Linked DNA regions of Rhinolophus ferrumequinum. The main gene of each other region encodes a partner of the protein of the gene in region 2 in a complex. Links are inferred from orthologs where the notes say so. Each region holds a gene or a part of one and is shown on either strand. Other genes may lie near its edges.

What was found. The genes of interacting proteins can lie anywhere in the genome.
Region 1: the proteins of NSUN4 (region 2) and MTERF4 are in contact, whole or in part, in a crystal structure (PDB 4FP9), measured with the Homo sapiens proteins. The link is inferred for Rhinolophus ferrumequinum from reciprocal best matches to the Homo sapiens genes NSUN4 and MTERF4. Residues at the interface, in NP_950245.2 of Homo sapiens: Pro61, Ser62, Arg64, Val65, Leu68, Ser69, Glu70, Arg136, Gly137, Asp138, Ile139, Arg141, Asn367, Leu368, Met369; in NP_872307.2 of Homo sapiens: Tyr267, Glu269, Arg270, Leu271, Gly272, Arg273, Glu311, Glu312, Val315, Phe316, Lys318, Leu319, Arg322, Glu323, Glu326.

What each region holds. Positions count from the first base shown.
Region 1 is NC_046291.1:547,959-555,746, reverse strand, and holds the start of MTERF4 (transcription termination factor 4, mitochondrial), read right to left. Parts: upstream 3,127-7,788; 5' UTR 2,997-3,126; coding exon 2,976-2,996; intron 1,669-2,975; coding exon 1,200-1,668; intron 1-1,199. Other genes in the region: PASK (PAS domain-containing serine/threonine-protein kinase), read right to left, coding at 6,663-6,748, 7,362-7,508. UniProt on the Homo sapiens protein: Regulator of mitochondrial ribosome biogenesis and translation. Binds to mitochondrial ribosomal RNAs 16S, 12S and 7S and targets NSUN4 RNA methyltransferase to the mitochondrial large ribosomal subunit (39S).
Region 2 is NC_046292.1:32,909,452-32,917,514, reverse strand, and holds the start of NSUN4 (5-methylcytosine rRNA methyltransferase NSUN4), read right to left. Parts: upstream 3,145-8,063; 5' UTR 3,057-3,144; coding exon 2,964-3,056; intron 1-2,963. UniProt on the Homo sapiens protein: Mitochondrial RNA cytosine C(5)-methyltransferase that methylates cytosine to 5-methylcytosine (m5C) in various RNAs, such as rRNAs, mRNAs and some long non-coding RNAs (lncRNAs).

The sequences.
Region 1 (7,788 bases), on a different chromosome or scaffold from region 2:
ATCGGACCACTCACAACCAACATTCCTAAGACCTGGGGGCCTGAACTCAAAGAAAAGGAGTGCCATGAAAATAATTACCATAATAGTAACAACTAGCACAAATACTGATGACCCACCTAGTGGGGTGACCACATATTTTATCCAAACTGGGTGAAAGATGCCCTGTTAATTGCATTAGATAACTGGTGTGAACTGAGACTGCCTGAGGTAGGTGAACTGCGTGCGGCACATGGTCTCCTACGGATAGTTGGTAAAAGTTAGTACCTGGAAACTTAAAATCACTTCTTTAAATGGCTAGTTGAAATGCTCCTAACAGTTGAATTAGTCACTGTCTTGCCAAAATGTATCAGAATTTCAGGAGTTTAGACTTTATCTTTGCCACGTAAGGCCGTGCTGAGCTTGCTAATTTATAATCAGAGCACATAAGGTGTTCCGTTTAGTCTTTCCGATTATACAGCCACAGGTCATCGGGTCCGAGAAACACACAAGGCGGTCTCTGCTTACTTCTGGAGAAGAAGGCCTGCAGAGGTCATCTGAAACGTGGTCTGCAAACCTTTCCCCCCCGACGTCTAACCAGTGAGAGTCAAGAGTGAAAAAGAGAACAGTGGAACTCCTCTGGTCAAAGTGGGTAGGGGTCCTTGGAGACCCTCCTGGGCCCCCAAACCCCTTCTCCAGAGGGCCCATAAAGAGACCCAATGAACTTCTCTAGAATTCTGTTGGGACTGGAGGTGGCGGCTGGAGGGAACAGCTGCTCCACCATTTCCCAGGAATCTGGGAAGATCTCCCGTTCCACAGTAAATCAAGACACCCAGCTGGAATCCAAGCATTTACCAGGGACTCTGTATGGCTCTGGCTCAACCTCAGACACAAAGCACTAAGACCACCTAAGCTAATTTAAACACCAAAGGTTATACACGTCTATATCGCATACTGACATCCACCTGTGAGCACCCGTGCCCACCTGTTCTAGACGCTAGAGCCCCCCCAGGGAACAAGACGAGAGTCCCTGCCTGCTACCCAACTGCCTCCTCCCGTCCTGCAACGCCTGAAACGAGACCACGCCTCTTCTTCACCTCCACACCAAGTCACACAGTCCTCTCAAGGGCCTTCCCCAGAAACCTCCCCTAATCCAGCTCACGGAGGCTGCTCGTTCCCCAGCGTGGACCCCTGGGCACTATCTATAAAAGCTACACCTTTACCTTCTCCAAGGCCAAGCTTTCGCAGATAACTGGAGCGCTTCTTCATGTGCATCACAGGCAGTTTCAATAACTGAGGACTTTTCTTCAGAGCCACACACACAGGCTCTGGATTCACACCCAAGAGTATTAATTCTGAAACGATATCCAGCACCTGTTGAGGGTGGGTACCTGGTTGCACTGTGAGCAACTCATTCACGTGGACATCACTGAAACCCATGTCCAGGAGGGAAGTGATGACCTCCTCTCGCTCCCAGGGCCCTCCGTCCACAGGAGCACTCTGCTTCTCGAGGAGGCACTGAGGGAGATGCGTCCTGCACGCTGGGTCCTGCACACAGGGTACCTCCTCAAGGCCCCCTCCGGTGGAGGCTGTGGTCAGTTTACACAACGAGGAAGCCGTCATCTTTTTCTGAGGAGTCTGCCTAGACATGCGGGCCCAGGTGAGGGGGATCAGGTGGTACCAAGCCGAGACCTGGAAGACAGTACAAAAGGGCATCAGTTCCTCATCGCCCCATGTCACGGGCACCGCAGGACGTACAAGCAGGATGAGCAGGGTATCTGTGCCTTGGTCCCACAGGAACCTGTTTTCATAAGACATCTGCAAAATCGTACGTGAACTTCAAAAGCCTACACAGAAGGAGATTCCCACACAGAGAGCAGAGCACTGCAAGGGCAGAGGTCAGAGCAACGCAGGCTCCCAGCTTGGGCTCCTGTAACTGAGGGGAAGGGAACTATTTCAGTGCCGCCTGGTGAAGTGCTTGGGGGAGGGGAGGACGTTTCCTTCACCCTGTCAGGGTCAGTGTGGGGGGGTGGGGGGGGCGGAGGCTGCAAATTTAACTGACAGTAGATCCACAGGAAGAAAAATCCCCCAAGTTTCTTAACGTGCATATGGCAGCTAACAAAAGACGTAGCTCCCTATGTGGCTAGTGACGGACGTTAACTTCACGACGGAGAGGGAGGAGGAGAAAAGGCTCTTATGGGAAGAACCAGCGGGTTTCTAGGGGGACAGGGGCGATGAGAAAGTTTGCCGGATTGTCTGTTTATACAGGTGCCGAGTGGTCTTCTTTCTTTTTTTCCTTCCCGGCCATAAACTCCCCGGGAGAGAGGACCCACGGCAGCCTCACTCCCAGCCGTTTCTGCTTTTAGTGAAAAGCAAAGCTCTGAGGAAACTTCCCGTAGGTGCCGAATCTCAAATGTCTTTAGTCTACAATGGTTTCCACGCCAACTCCGGGGCGCCGACTTGGTCCCACACGTGAAAACTCGGGACCTCCTACTAGGCTCGGGATTCATGGCCCTAAGTCCATTCCACAGAAACAACCCTGTTAGGTAGAATGCAGCTTAGTCCGGCAGCCAACTTGTATGTAGAATTCCCGCTCACTTCAAAAGTGGTCCGTGGCCCAGGCCGGCGCGGAGCAAACCGGACGGGTCCCCGCGCGCCCAAACGTCACCCAGCGTGGCCCCCGGCAGGCAGTCAAGCCCACGCGCTCGCGGCCCCCGGGCTGCCGCGCCTCGCCCCGCCCGCGGCCCACCCGCTCCCGCCGCCGGATTCACGCCCGGGCCCGGCTAGTGCCGAGCCGGGCGGAGCTGCGCTCAGGGCGCGCTGACCGAGCGGACAGCGAGCGCCGCAGCCCAGGTGCGTGCACTTGCTGTGTGCACCGGCCTGCGGGAAGGCTCCGACGGCAACAGGTCGCCGCCTGCCGGGAAGCACCTGGGCGCCGGCGACTCCTCTGCGCCCCCGCCCGCGACCCGCCAGGGGTCCAGCCGACGGCGCAGCCTCACCTGCCGGCCGAGCGCCGCCATAGCGCGAAGGCGGCCACCGCGACTCCGGCGCCGGAAGCAGAGCGCCCGCCGTCCGCCGCTTCCGCCTTCCCCCTCGCAAGCGCGACGGCGCGGGAAACGCGTTCCGCGGCGGCCCTTCTCAGGACGTGTCCCGCGCTGGGCGGGCCCGGGGCGGGTTCTCCGCTTTGTTCTCCGCTGCCACTTTCCCGCTTTCTCGCCTTCTCGGCTAGCGCGGCTAGCGAACAGCTCCTTCCCCAAACCTTCGCTTCGCGTTACTTTAAAATCCCTCTGAAGAGAAGAGGTGAAAGGAAACTAGAACCTGGACTCAAACCGGCCACGTCCCGTGGTTCGACAGTAACTTCCCGAAGCGTTTTCACGTCGGGGTAGAAGCAGCCAGAAAACACGGGGTCCCAGATGAAGATGTTTAAGACTTACTGTGTGAAAATCTGTATTCAGCATGAATACTGAGGAAACACACACACACACTAAAAGACAGGTGTATTCTAGGGGTGTTGAAACTATCGCAAGGAACTCCGGAAGTCTTGACAATTTTTAAGAAATACGACCCAAGTCATCAAATGACAGGAACTGCAACACATGTCCCCTTATTGACACAAGTCCTCCCCACTCGGAGGTCTGGTTTCCCCTTGAGATGAAAGCCAGTAATGTTTCAGCCCAATTTGCTGTTAAAACAGTTTCATGATTGAAAGCTTTTTTGAAAGAAAGGGTGTATTGAGCCATACGCTAGCCAGAAAAGAACCAGGTCCTGGGGTGTGCAGTCTAAACCGCCAGCAGCAGTGCTACCGTGTTTCCCTGAAAATACGACCTAGCCGGGCCATCAGCTCTGATGCGTCTTTTGAAGCGAAAGTTAATATAAGACCCGGTCTTATTTTACTATAAGACCCGCTCTTCTCATAATATAATCTTATATTAATTTTTACTCCAAAAGATGCATTAGAGCTGATGGTCCGGCTAGGCCTTATTTTCGGGGAAACACGGTAGGTGAAGGCAACATGTCCGCGGTCCTGGGGTTGACAAGCTCTTGGTATACAGCAAGTAGAAGGAAGATGTGAGTTGTTCAAGAACTGATACTGGCTGTGAAGGGGGTGTGAGAAGGTGGAGCAGGGCTAGCTTGGGGATGGGTGCAGTCCAGGGAGGAAGTGTTTGCTCCTTTGGATTGGCTGTGGGCAACAGTGAGGGGAATCCACAGGTAACCAGGAAGTGGAGGCTTCTGGGGGGCAGTGGCCCTAGCTATTCTCCAGATAACCGTAGAAACAGGCACTTGGAAGTTAATTTGAAGTTCCAACACACACTCAGGAATGCAAGCAGTCTTGTTGGTTTTGCCCTGCATTGTTTAAATGACTAACCTCTTTCTTGTGTCTTCCCTCCACCCTCTGGCCTGCTGTAATTAATTCACGACATCTCAGAATTTTCTTGTCATGGTATTTCTTCTTAAATTTCAAACCTGTAGTAATTCGGGTGTAGAGCCTACGCATCTTTCAAACGTGGGTAGTTGTGAAAAAAACTAAAACGGTGTGTTCCCTCAACTGCCTGAATTCCACCACTCGTAAGCCCAGTACCTTACTTTATAAACATTTCTTCTTGTTTCACCAACTTTGTTCTGAACTGGGACCTGGTTCTGAACTTGGTTCTGGTTCAGAAAAGGGACCTGATTCTTGCATGAATACAATTTACAGAGTACCTGCTCTGTGCCAAGCACTGCGCTGGGTGCTAAGACCTATCTTTTTACACAAGGATTACATCAAAGAAAAGGACATTTGTAATCTGTGTGGGGTCAAAGAATTGGTTGTTTTTGATGGTTTTTAATCTTTCTTCTTAAAACACTCCACTGTCAGCACCTCAAAATAAATTGTTAATGCTTTTACACCCAAAGCCTAAGAAAACCCTGTGCTACCCCACAACCTGGAAAGCATCAAGGAACCTAAGCAGTTATCCAGCTCTGGAAACAAAGAAACGGCTGGGGTGCCAGGTTTGCTCTAAGAGCCAGCAGTATCTTCAGTTTGCTATGAACATGTTGCTCTCTGGGCACATACTTGGAACGTGGACAGAAAAATGCATCAGTCTCAGACTCAGAACTTTTCTCCCCAGTTCTTTCTGTGAAAAACACTCTCAAAGTATCAAACCTTCTACTGCCATCAAGTCAGATGAATTTTGTTTCATATAAAGAACGAACAGCTCTTGTAGAGTGAGGACTTTGCATTATCAGCCCATGGCACGCCTGTCTGAAAAAAACATTCTGTAACTGCTCTTGTGTTATAAACATCATAAACACTACAAGGATAAATGTTTGGGGTTTTTTTCCCCCCACTTTTGAAAACAGTTCTTAGAACATAAGGAAACTCATTTGAATTCTGAAGTTCTGTATCACTTTTTCCTACACATAAAAGCACATGTCTCCAAGCTCTGTCTAACTGACCCTGATGGAGGAGTCCCATCTCTTTCCCGTGATGGCAGAGACTCGAACAGCAATTTCTAGAGATGGGGAAATCCTGTGTCCTAGTAGTTGAGAATCACATTAGCTGTTATCTGAGCGTCCTAAAATATTAAGACCGTTGAGTGCTGAGCACAGGGCCATAGTGGAGGCGGCCTGGCCCCCGAGTACCTTCCTCAGGGCTCTGGGCAGCAGCCGCCTTGGTACCTGCAGCAAGTGGGAACTGTGGGAAGAGAGTGGGGAGTCTTCCTTTTTCTTGTTTTCTTCCTGGTGTTTCAGAAGGCGTGAGGGGAGAAACTTTCCTCTTACCCCTAAGCACTCTCTCCCCTCCAACAGGTACAAAATGGAGCCTGGCTTTCATGTGCTTGAGCAAGCTGATTGTTTCAGAGGGGATGCACGGAGCCGGGGACAGGGGGTATCTGAGTGTGAGAAGCCCTGGGACCGGAGCAAGAGTAGGACAGTGAGGGAGAGGTGGCGCCAGGCTGGCGCGGGGATGTCTGGGGCTGCTGGGAGGGTCTGCTGCACAGCCCGCCTGACATCAGAGCCCAGACAGGTGATGGGCCAACCCGGACAAGCTGGGCCCAGAGAAAGGGAGGTGCCCGAGACCGCCACTCTCTCCCAGTCTCCTGAGACGGAGCAAGCTGCAAAGCTTGCTGGGGTCCCTGGAGGGACCCCAAACTGTGTGAGGCTGGCCCTCCCTCCAGCTGCAGTGAGTAGGGGTGCAGAAACAAAGTGCTTCCCACACTGGCATTGTGGAAGAATTCAGACAGTCCAAGTCAGGGTAAGTGTTTACTAACAAAGTGGTTTAATTTGGAAAATGTTCAAGGAAATAAATGAATAAAATACGCTGGTCATTTGGCTAACCAGTTCTGCAAATTCCGCCTATCAGATGAGCAGAGGCCAAGTCAGAGGAAACAGAAATGTGCATATATACAGAAGTAGAAAGAGATTTACAAATTTATTGATGCTTTTCAGAAGTTCACAGATGAAATGGCCTCTCATAGTACAAAACTCAATTGAATACTACCATGTTTTTTCAAAGTCATGAAAAAAATGAACTCCAAGTCTATTTTATAAACCTAAAATGGTACAACATCACTGGGCTTTTGTTCTAGCATTTATCAAACTCACACATGTGTTTTTCAGAGGTGAACTTGGCCTAATTCCTGAGAATTAATTTCTCTCAACAGAAGGGCCTGAAAACAACGTGATTTCCTGGTTGGGTGAAACCATCGTTAGGGGGCTCCCCTGGGGCCCGAGGCCACTGTGCTTGGGGTCCTGCTCTCCGTCTCCAGACTCATAATGGACAGAACTCCGCTGTCTGAGGAAAGAAGATGGTAGTGCATCATATGCTAACACCACATGATTCTAAACCACTTTGCTTCCCTCTAGAAGAATTCCTAGGAGCAAAAGCCATCCGAGGGACCCTTCCAAACCCAACTGGCACTGTTCCAGAGTCCCTGGACCCGCCGAGGTGCGGTGGGGTTCGAGGCTGGAGTCATCACCACCAGCTCAGTGACCAGCCACATGGGCTGGGTGGCCCGGCTGGGCAGCCATCTGCCTCGTCTGAAGAGCAGGGCCCTGCAGGTCCCCGAACACTGACTCACGTCTATGGCCTCATTCCCCTCGTCAGCCCATTCACATCACTGCAGCAACTGCATTTCTCAAACCCCAGCCCCCACCCCTTCTGTAGGTACCATCTCATCACAGGCTCCCACAGGGACTCACTCACCCACCTTCCAAGGCCCACAGGCAAAGCTCTGAACCCCGGGGGCATTCAGGGGCCCCTGGAACAGAATCAAGTCCCGTTTGTTTCATAGGGGACGAGCCAGCTATGGGCCGTGACATTTGTGTCCAGAACAGCATGGGAGGAGGGAGCCTCCCCGTCCTCCCCGGACCCAAAAGGCAGCCTGGGGAACCTCCTCACCTCTCACCTGGCTTATTTACTTGATACACCTCCTCCCAGGTGTAGTCAGCAAGGTTCACAGGCTGCGTCACCCAGGGGTTTGTCACCAGCTTCTCCAAGGTGGTGCGCTGCTCAGGGACAGGCTGCAGCAACCCAGACAGGAGGCTCATTAGATCTGGGGACATAAAAAGCTGCCCTAGGCATGGGGCCAGAAGACCAACATTGGTCTGGCCTGGGTCAAGTGAAGCGCATCTGAAAACCGCGGGTCCTGGTCTGCCCCCATGAGCACCTGACCGGCAGCGAGGAGCCCTGGAACCCCACTTTTAGCTAGTACCCCAGGGTTTCTGGCGCACAGGGCCCCAGCTGTGCTTCGAGAAAGGCTGCGAGAGACATCTATCACCTCTAAAATGACAACTTGGCGTTCAAGGTCCTGCCTTAGGATGCGCAGAGGTCCC
Region 2 (8,063 bases):
CTCCGACCATCAGTTCTCCTATGGCAGGGACTCTTGCTCTGGTTTCTGCTGTGGTGGAGACTCTCAGTCTTGCCCAGATTCTTGTCATGGTGGGGACTCTTGCTTCGGCTCCGACTTTTGCTATGGAGGGCATTCTTGCTCGGGCCCTGACTTTTGCTACTCTGGGGACGCTCACTCTGTTCCTGACATACGCCAAGTTGAAGACTCTCGCATTGATCCTGATTTATGCTTTGGTGGGGACTCTCGCTCCGGTTCCGACTTCTGCTTTGATGGGTATTTGTGTTCTGGCTGTCACTATTCTGGCATTCACTAGTAACAGTTGAACTACAGCTGGGATTAGTGCTACAGGTGGAACTCGTGGATGAAGGCATAGGACAGCTGTAGGGGACCTTCAGCGTCTCTTTGCGTGAGCCTCGAGAAGCCACAGAGTAGACATGGAAGCCACAGGGCATCGTATCAGGGTGGCCCTGGGGTCGGGGGTCAATGGGTAAACTTTGGGGGTCAAAAGGTGTTCTCAAAGGGATAAAAGAATAGATATGTGTAGGACATGGAGGTGCCACAGGCTGGCGATGGGGTTGGGATGGGCCCCTGGGAGTGCCATAGGTACCACGGGGGGGCACCATGGGCTGGTTATGACACTGAGGGGGACCTGTGGAACCAGAAGGTGGGCAGGGATCAGGGGTGGGGGGAACCACAGAATATATATGGGTACAGCAAGGGGCTCTTAGCGGGGGTCCATGGGGGCAGCTCTGAGCATAAATATTGGGTAAGATAGAATCACAAGGAAAGCAGAAGGGAAGCGAAGTGGGGATAACAGTTTTGAGGGTCCTAGGGACTAGGGTAGGTAAGGTAGTCCCTTGAGGAAGTTCTTTGGGGCAGGAATTTGAGCAAGTTGTGATGGATGTCACCATACAAGAAGGACCAGAGAGACCAGAAGGGTGGGAGGGAGGTATGGGAGAGGTGCTAGCCTTAGAGGGCCTGAATTGCTCAGGAGTGTTCTGGGCAGAGGTGACCAGGGAGCGACATCTGTGGGGAGCACGTAGCTGTTTTAACCCTGGGGATTTGGGGGACTTCTCTTGGGGGCAAACTGCAGTAAGGAGAGGGGGTTCATTATAGCTTCTACAAAAGGGTGACTGGGGTGGAGATACAAACTGGTTACCCAGGGATGAAGAGAAGGAGAAGGCAGAAAAAGGACAGGGTGAGGACAGGGAAAGAGGTGGTTCCTGAGGACACGGGGGACCAGAAACCGTGGTACCAGTAAAGAGGTAAGAGCGCCCACCAGTCTTCCAGGGGAAAATGGACTCAAAGCAAGGCTTCCTGGGAGCCTGGGACTGGGGTGAGCAAGAAGAACCAGTAATCCCAGGGGGTAGGAGAATGACACTATAAGGGCTCCCAGGGGCAGATATGTGGGTCTCTGGGGGGAGATGGGAATAGTGATAGGAATCCTCCTGAGATGAGCTGGGATAGTCAGCCACACATGCCTGAGAAGAAAGTGGGGAGCCACAATTTTTCCCAAGGCGTGGATCAAGCTGTGGTTTAGGTTCACAAGAGTCTGGAGGCTTAAGATGGCCTTGGTAAAACTGACCAGTGGGTGGGGAAGATGCTGAGGAAAGAGGAGGATCATTACAACTTCTCCCTGAGGACCAGGGAGGGTACAGAGAGGAGATCTGTGAGAGCTCTAACACCCTGTGAGAAAGGGGTAGGGAAATTATAGGCCTAGTTTCCTTGGGCTGGTGAGCAATGGGAGGTGAAATCATGAGGCCAGTTCCCTGAGAATCATGAGTGACAGGTGAAATCATGGGGCCAGTTTCTAAATGCACATGAGTGAGGGGAGGAGAACTCACCGGGCTGGTTTGTGGGGGCCCATGAGTGAGAGGAGGGGAGGTCACCCTGCTTGTTACTAAGGCTGAATTATTTTCAGCACAGTAACAGAGGTAAGTGTGGTGGTCAGTGTAAGGACTTTGGGGACAGGGACGAGGTGTTCTCACGGGACTGATCCAGCTGCAATGAGGGCTCCGCGAATGGAGAAGGGGTGAACCCAGAAGTCTGAACCGCTCAAAACAAGGGCTCGGAGGGCGCGAACCCGAGGGGACAGGCTCCTGGTAGCAGTGCCTTGCGAGGGGTGGAGAACAGGGTTCAAAAGAACATCTCTCCAAGCGCAGGGGAGGTTGTGGGGCTGAGGAGGGGGATAGTGGGGGCGGGGAGGGAATCGGTCGGGGTAGGGAGCGGGGAGTGCCGGTTATGGAGGAAATTCCAGGGCTACCGGTGAGGCCAGAGAAAAGGTCTCTGGAGAAATGGGGAGACCCAAGAGCGTGAGAGTAGTCAGGGCATCTTTTGCCCGGGTTTGAGGAAGGGCCGGGGGTATGGGCAGGGTGGTCGCTGTAACCTTTCCTCGCCGCTAGAGGCAGCTCGAGTGTAAGGAAGGGGTTAAATCCTTTTCCGAAGGGCGGCTGAGACCCAGGTAGGAAGGGAAAGTCGCTATGATCTTTTCCGTGGGGTGAGGGTGGCCCGGCTGGAAAATCTTTAAGGAAAGAAGGAGAAGAGGTCATGGGTGGAGGGGGGACGAGAAGGGGCGGGGTAGGAAAGAGGGGTAGGGTGGGAGAGAGGGAGGGAGGGAAGTGGGGGCCAAGAGGAAGGTAATCAAGAGCTGGGGAACAACAGGCAATGACAAAACTGGGAGAATGAGGACGGAGGTGATGACGTAACTTAGAGAGGCGGGGTCAGGCGGCTGTAGACGAAACAAGAGGGAGACCAAGACTTGTGGCGAAATAAAAGAGCCATGACGATAAAGAGGTGACGCCCCCTGAAGTGAGGGGGATAAAGGCCAAAGGCGTTCCAGAGGGGTGGGAGTAGCGAATCTAACTGAGTAGGGCGCGAAGTGGAAGGGCCAAAAAAGTTTCCCGAGGAGCGGCAGCCAGAGGCCGCTGTCACTGTTCCCTCCTGGGCCCCCGGCTGGACCTTACCCATTTCTTCTTATGTCGGTGTCTCCGCGGGACCTTCGCGAAGTCCGCACGCTTCAACAGGTCCCGAACACTTCTCACTACCAGAGCAGCCATATCCGCGTGCGCCGCTGTATAATTCCGACCGGAACAGCAAGGCGAGACCCGCGGGTTCCCGAGAGGTGGTGCGCGACTCGCGGGACAAAAAGGGGAGGGACTTACGGCTGAGTCCTCCCGAGGCTCCACCTACCTTTCCTCAGGTGCGACGCCCCCAGGGATCTTTTGAGGGTGCTGGAAAAGAACCACCCTTCGCACTGAATGGTGGCTCGGCCTGGGTGCTTGGAACATTTGGAGAGACTCCGTAAAAGTCTAACCCAGCTGGAATCGGAGTACTGGGAACTGGCAGTTGAGTACTGAAAGAGTTAGCTATACAAAAAGGGGCGGGAAAGGCCTCCAAGGCAGAAGAAGTTGCACGGAGAAAGATCCTAAGGTAGCGTTAAAAAACGAGCCTAGACGTGTAGGCAGAGACGGATTTTTAGTGAAGCTAATGAAAGCTTAAGTTTCTTCTGGACCTGTCATTCGCACTGCCCCCTTCAAGGCCCTGTACCTAATACTATATTATTTTTCTTTGTGTAAGTTTGGGGCTCCGGAAAACTTGACTTCACCACAGATAAAGAGCCAGTAGAGATCAGTGTTTTAAAAAGTGATCATCTAAAAAAAAGAAAAAAATTTGATCATCTGACAGCCGATGACCAAGTAGGTAGGGAGATCAGATGAGAGAAGATGATTGTCTGGATCAGCGTGGTGGCAGTGAAGATGGATCCCACCTATAATTAAGAGAGAAACTACAGGACTTGCTGACTGATTGGCCCAAAATAATACATACTACACCACCAATTAATTGCTGTTCTCTTACCCTGCCTTTATTCTTATAACTTATTACACCTGATATGTATTTATTTTCTTATAATTTTCAAAAGAAAAAAAGCATAATTCTTATACAAATATAAAATGAACACATGCCAGATTTTATTCATCGTAATAAATTACTCATCCATCATTATCCTAAATAACGAGGAAACCAGTAAGATGGTAGGACTTGTTCAAATGAGAATTTGAGTTGCAGAGCTTTCAATTATCAGCCAAAGGAATGCTGAAATGAATTTACTAATAGTTGCAAAATCATTAATATCCTATTAAGTAATAAACTTTAATATTTGGAATTATCTCTTATGCTAGATGGAAATCAATTCCATCTCTACTGGACAAAATTCATGCACATTACTATGGATAGGAATCATTTGCGTTGCTCCCAGACAAGAATTATTTACATTGCTACCAGTTTTCTACAAGTTAACCTCTACTCCTACAAAGTTGTAAGATAGCCTAGTCAATATAAAGTCAATCAAAGGTATAACCCAACACTAGAATGAAAAAGCACCCAGTAATCCTCTTCTGCCCATTTACACATTCTGGACAATTTTTCTGGACTTGTCTTCCCTCACTAGATTGCAAGATTTAAAAGAACAAGATTTTTTTAAATTCATTGCTGAATTATCATATCAGCACCTAGGACTGTAAGTGGTACATAGTTGGCTCTCAATAGATATGAATTAAATGAATTAAAGATGAGAAAATAGAAATGTAAATGTAAACAATTTTCAAGAAGTTGATTACAGGAACCAGGCAGTTGTAAAGTGAAAAGAGGTATGTGTATAGAAAAAAGTATTTTTTTAAAAAAAAGCTCATAGACATTTAAATCCAGATAAGGATCCAATAAGAGAAATTGGATACACAAGTGAGGAGGTATCTTAGACTCGCCTGTCCTCAAAAGCTTACACCAAATATGGAGTGTCAGGACCACAACCAAAATCTTGTGAAGGGCCCCTTCCCACTCCAGGCCTCAGTTTATCAATCTATAAAATGGGGAGCAAGGGTTGGACTAAATCAATGATTCTCAAACTTTTTGCTCTCAGGACTACTTTACACTCTTAAAAATTATTTAGAATTATTGAGCTTTTGTTTATTAGTATTTGCCAGATTAGAAATTGAAACAAATTTTAAAAATAGTCATTAAAATAACAATAAACCCATTACATTTAACATAAATATCATTAGAAAAATAATTATATTTTTCTAAAAGAAATTTAGTCAGAAGAGTGGAATTGTTTTATAGATCTCTTGCAAATTAATGTCTGGCTTAATAGAAAGCTGGATTCTCATATCTGCTTTTTCAGTGTGTTGTGATATGTTCTAGTTGAAATATGTGTAGAAAATCCAGTTTCACACATATTTAGTAAGAAAAGAGGGGTATTTTAGTAGCCTTTGTTTATAATTGTGAATATTCTTTGATACTAAACCACAATTTGACAAATGATAGTTTCTTTAAACATTAATGGCAGTGTGGAATCTGTAACTATATCAAAGAACTTTTGTACTCTGTTACATAGATTCATTGGACTCTCTGGTACTCTGTATGAAACTTTTGCCCATGCATGATTGTCACATCATACAGTGGTTATTTGGAAATTATTGGTTCACTGAGTTATACAGATCTTTCAAATGTTTTCACATTCATTATAAATATTTTTAAAAGTCACATTTGTTAATATCACTACTGATCTCAACAGAAAGACCCTTAAATGTTAGGAAGCTTTTAAACTCACAATGGCTGGTGCAGGTTTTTCAAAATCCTAATTTTTGCTTGAAAGCTTGGATTTTATTTTTGGCAGCAAATAACTGACAATTCTTTTCCTTGAAATGACAGGCTTACTTTGTCCATTTTTCAAGAAAATGCTAGTATATTAAAATACAATTGATTTTTGTCTATTGATTTTATTTTCTGAAACTTTGCTAAATTCAGTTATGTTTTGGTAACTTTTTGAGAAATCTTTTCAGATTTTCTATGCACAAGATCATGTCTTTTATCAAGTTGCTTTTATTTCTTTTCAATCTTTTATTTCTTTTCAATCTGCATGCTTTTTTTCCCCTTGCCTTTCATTGCCTTATTCCACTGGTTAGGACTTACTGTTGAATCCAAGTCATGTTAGTATAGACATCATTGCCTTGTTCCAAAGGCATTCAGTATTTCACCATTATATGTGATGTTAGCTGTAGTTTTTTGTTTTTTTCCATTTTTTTATTTTATTTTATTATTATTATTTTTTAAGATTTTATTGGGGAAGGGGAACAGGACTTTATTGGGGAACAGTGTGTATTTCCAGGACTTTTTCCAAGTCAAGTTGTTGTCCTTTCAATCTTAGTTGTGGAGGGTGCAGCTCAGCTCCAGGTCCAGTTGCCGTTGTTAGTCTAGTGTAGGGGGCACAGCCCATCATCCCTTGCGGGAGTCAAGGAGTCCAACCGGCAACCTTGTGGTTGAGAGCCCACTGGCCCATGTGGGAATCAAACTGGCAGCCCTTAGAGTTAGGAGTATGGAGCTCCAACTGCCTGAGCCACCGGGCCGGCCCATTTTTTAGGTTTTTTTAGAAGTTCCCTTCTATTCCTAGTTTGCTGAGATTTTTAAAACATCAAGAATGGTTGTTGATTTTCTTCAAATGCTTTTCCTACATCTATTGAGATGATCATATGTTTTTTTCTTCATTCTGTTAATACGATGAATTATACTGTCTGATTTTTCAAATGATGAACCAACTTTGCATTCCTGTGTAAAAAACCCCACAGTTCATGATGTATTATTCTTTTTTTTAAAGATTTTATTGGGGAAAGGGAACAGGACTTTATTGGGGAACAGTGTGTACTTTCAGGCCTTTTTTCCAAGTCAAGTTGTTGTCCTTTCAATCTTAGTTGTGGAGGGTGCTGTTCAACTTCAAGTTGTTGTCCTTTCAGTCTTAGTTGTGGAGGGCGCAGCTCAGCTCCAGGTCCAGTTGCCGTTTTCTAGTTGCAGGGGGCGCTGCCCACCATCCCTTGCAGGAGTCGAGGAATCAAACTGGCAACCTTGTGGTTGAGAGGACGCGCTCCAACCAACTGAGCCATTCGGGAGCTCAGCGGCAGCTCAGCTCAAGGTGCCGTGTTCAATCTTAGTTGCAGGGGGCACAGCCCACCATCCCTTGTGGGACTCGAGGAATTGAACTGGCAACCTTGTGGTTGAGAGCCTGTGCTCCAACCAACTGAGCCATCCGGGAGGCTCAAGGTGCCCGTGTTCAATCTTAGTTGCAGGGAGTGGAGCCCACCATCCCTTGTGGGACTTGAGGAATTGAACTGGCAACCTTGTGGTTGAGAGCCCACTGGCCCATGTGGGAATCGAACCGGTGGCCTGCGGAGTTAGGAGCATGGAGCTCTAACCGCCTGAGCCACCGGGCCGGCCCATATTATTCTTTTTATATATTATTTTATTGTTGCATCTATGTTCATGGGGATATTGGCCAGCAATTTTCTCTTCCCGTAAGGCCTTCGTTTGATTTTGATATTCAGGGTAATGCTGGCCTCATAAAATTAGTTTGGGAAGTGTCCCTTCACTTCTATTTTCTGAAAGAATTTTTATTCAATTGGTATTATTTCTTCTTTAAATTACTGACAGAATTAAACAGTGAAGCCATCTGAGCCTGGAGTTGGATGTTTCTTTTACCTTCTTTCTTTCCCTCCCTTACTTCCTTCCTTCTTTTTCCCTCCCTCGTTCCCTCCCTCCCTCCCGCCTTTCCTTTCTTCCTCCTTTCTTCCCTTCCTTCCTTCCTTTCTGGAATGCAGGGTGAGAAGGAAAGGAAGGTTTTAAATTATGAATTCAATTTCTTTCCTTGATATTCTGTTTTCAACCGGAGGTGATTTTGCCTCTTCTCCAGGGGACATTTGGTAACATCTGGGGATATTTTGAGTTGTTATAACTGAGTGGTGCTTTTGCAGTAGATACTGCTGAAAACCCTGCAATACACAGGACAGTCCACCCCACCCAAAGAATTATCCAGACCAAAATGTCAATAGTGCTAAGGTTGAGAAACTCTGATAAAAGGCTATTTGAATTTTATAATTCTTCTTGAATTAGTTTTGACAATTTGAGTCTTTTAAAGAACTTGTTCCTCTAAATTGTCAAATTTCTTCCCATAAAGTTGTTCAGAATATTCTATTATCTAGCATCTGTAGCAGAGGACATCAAACTACAGCGACAAGCTA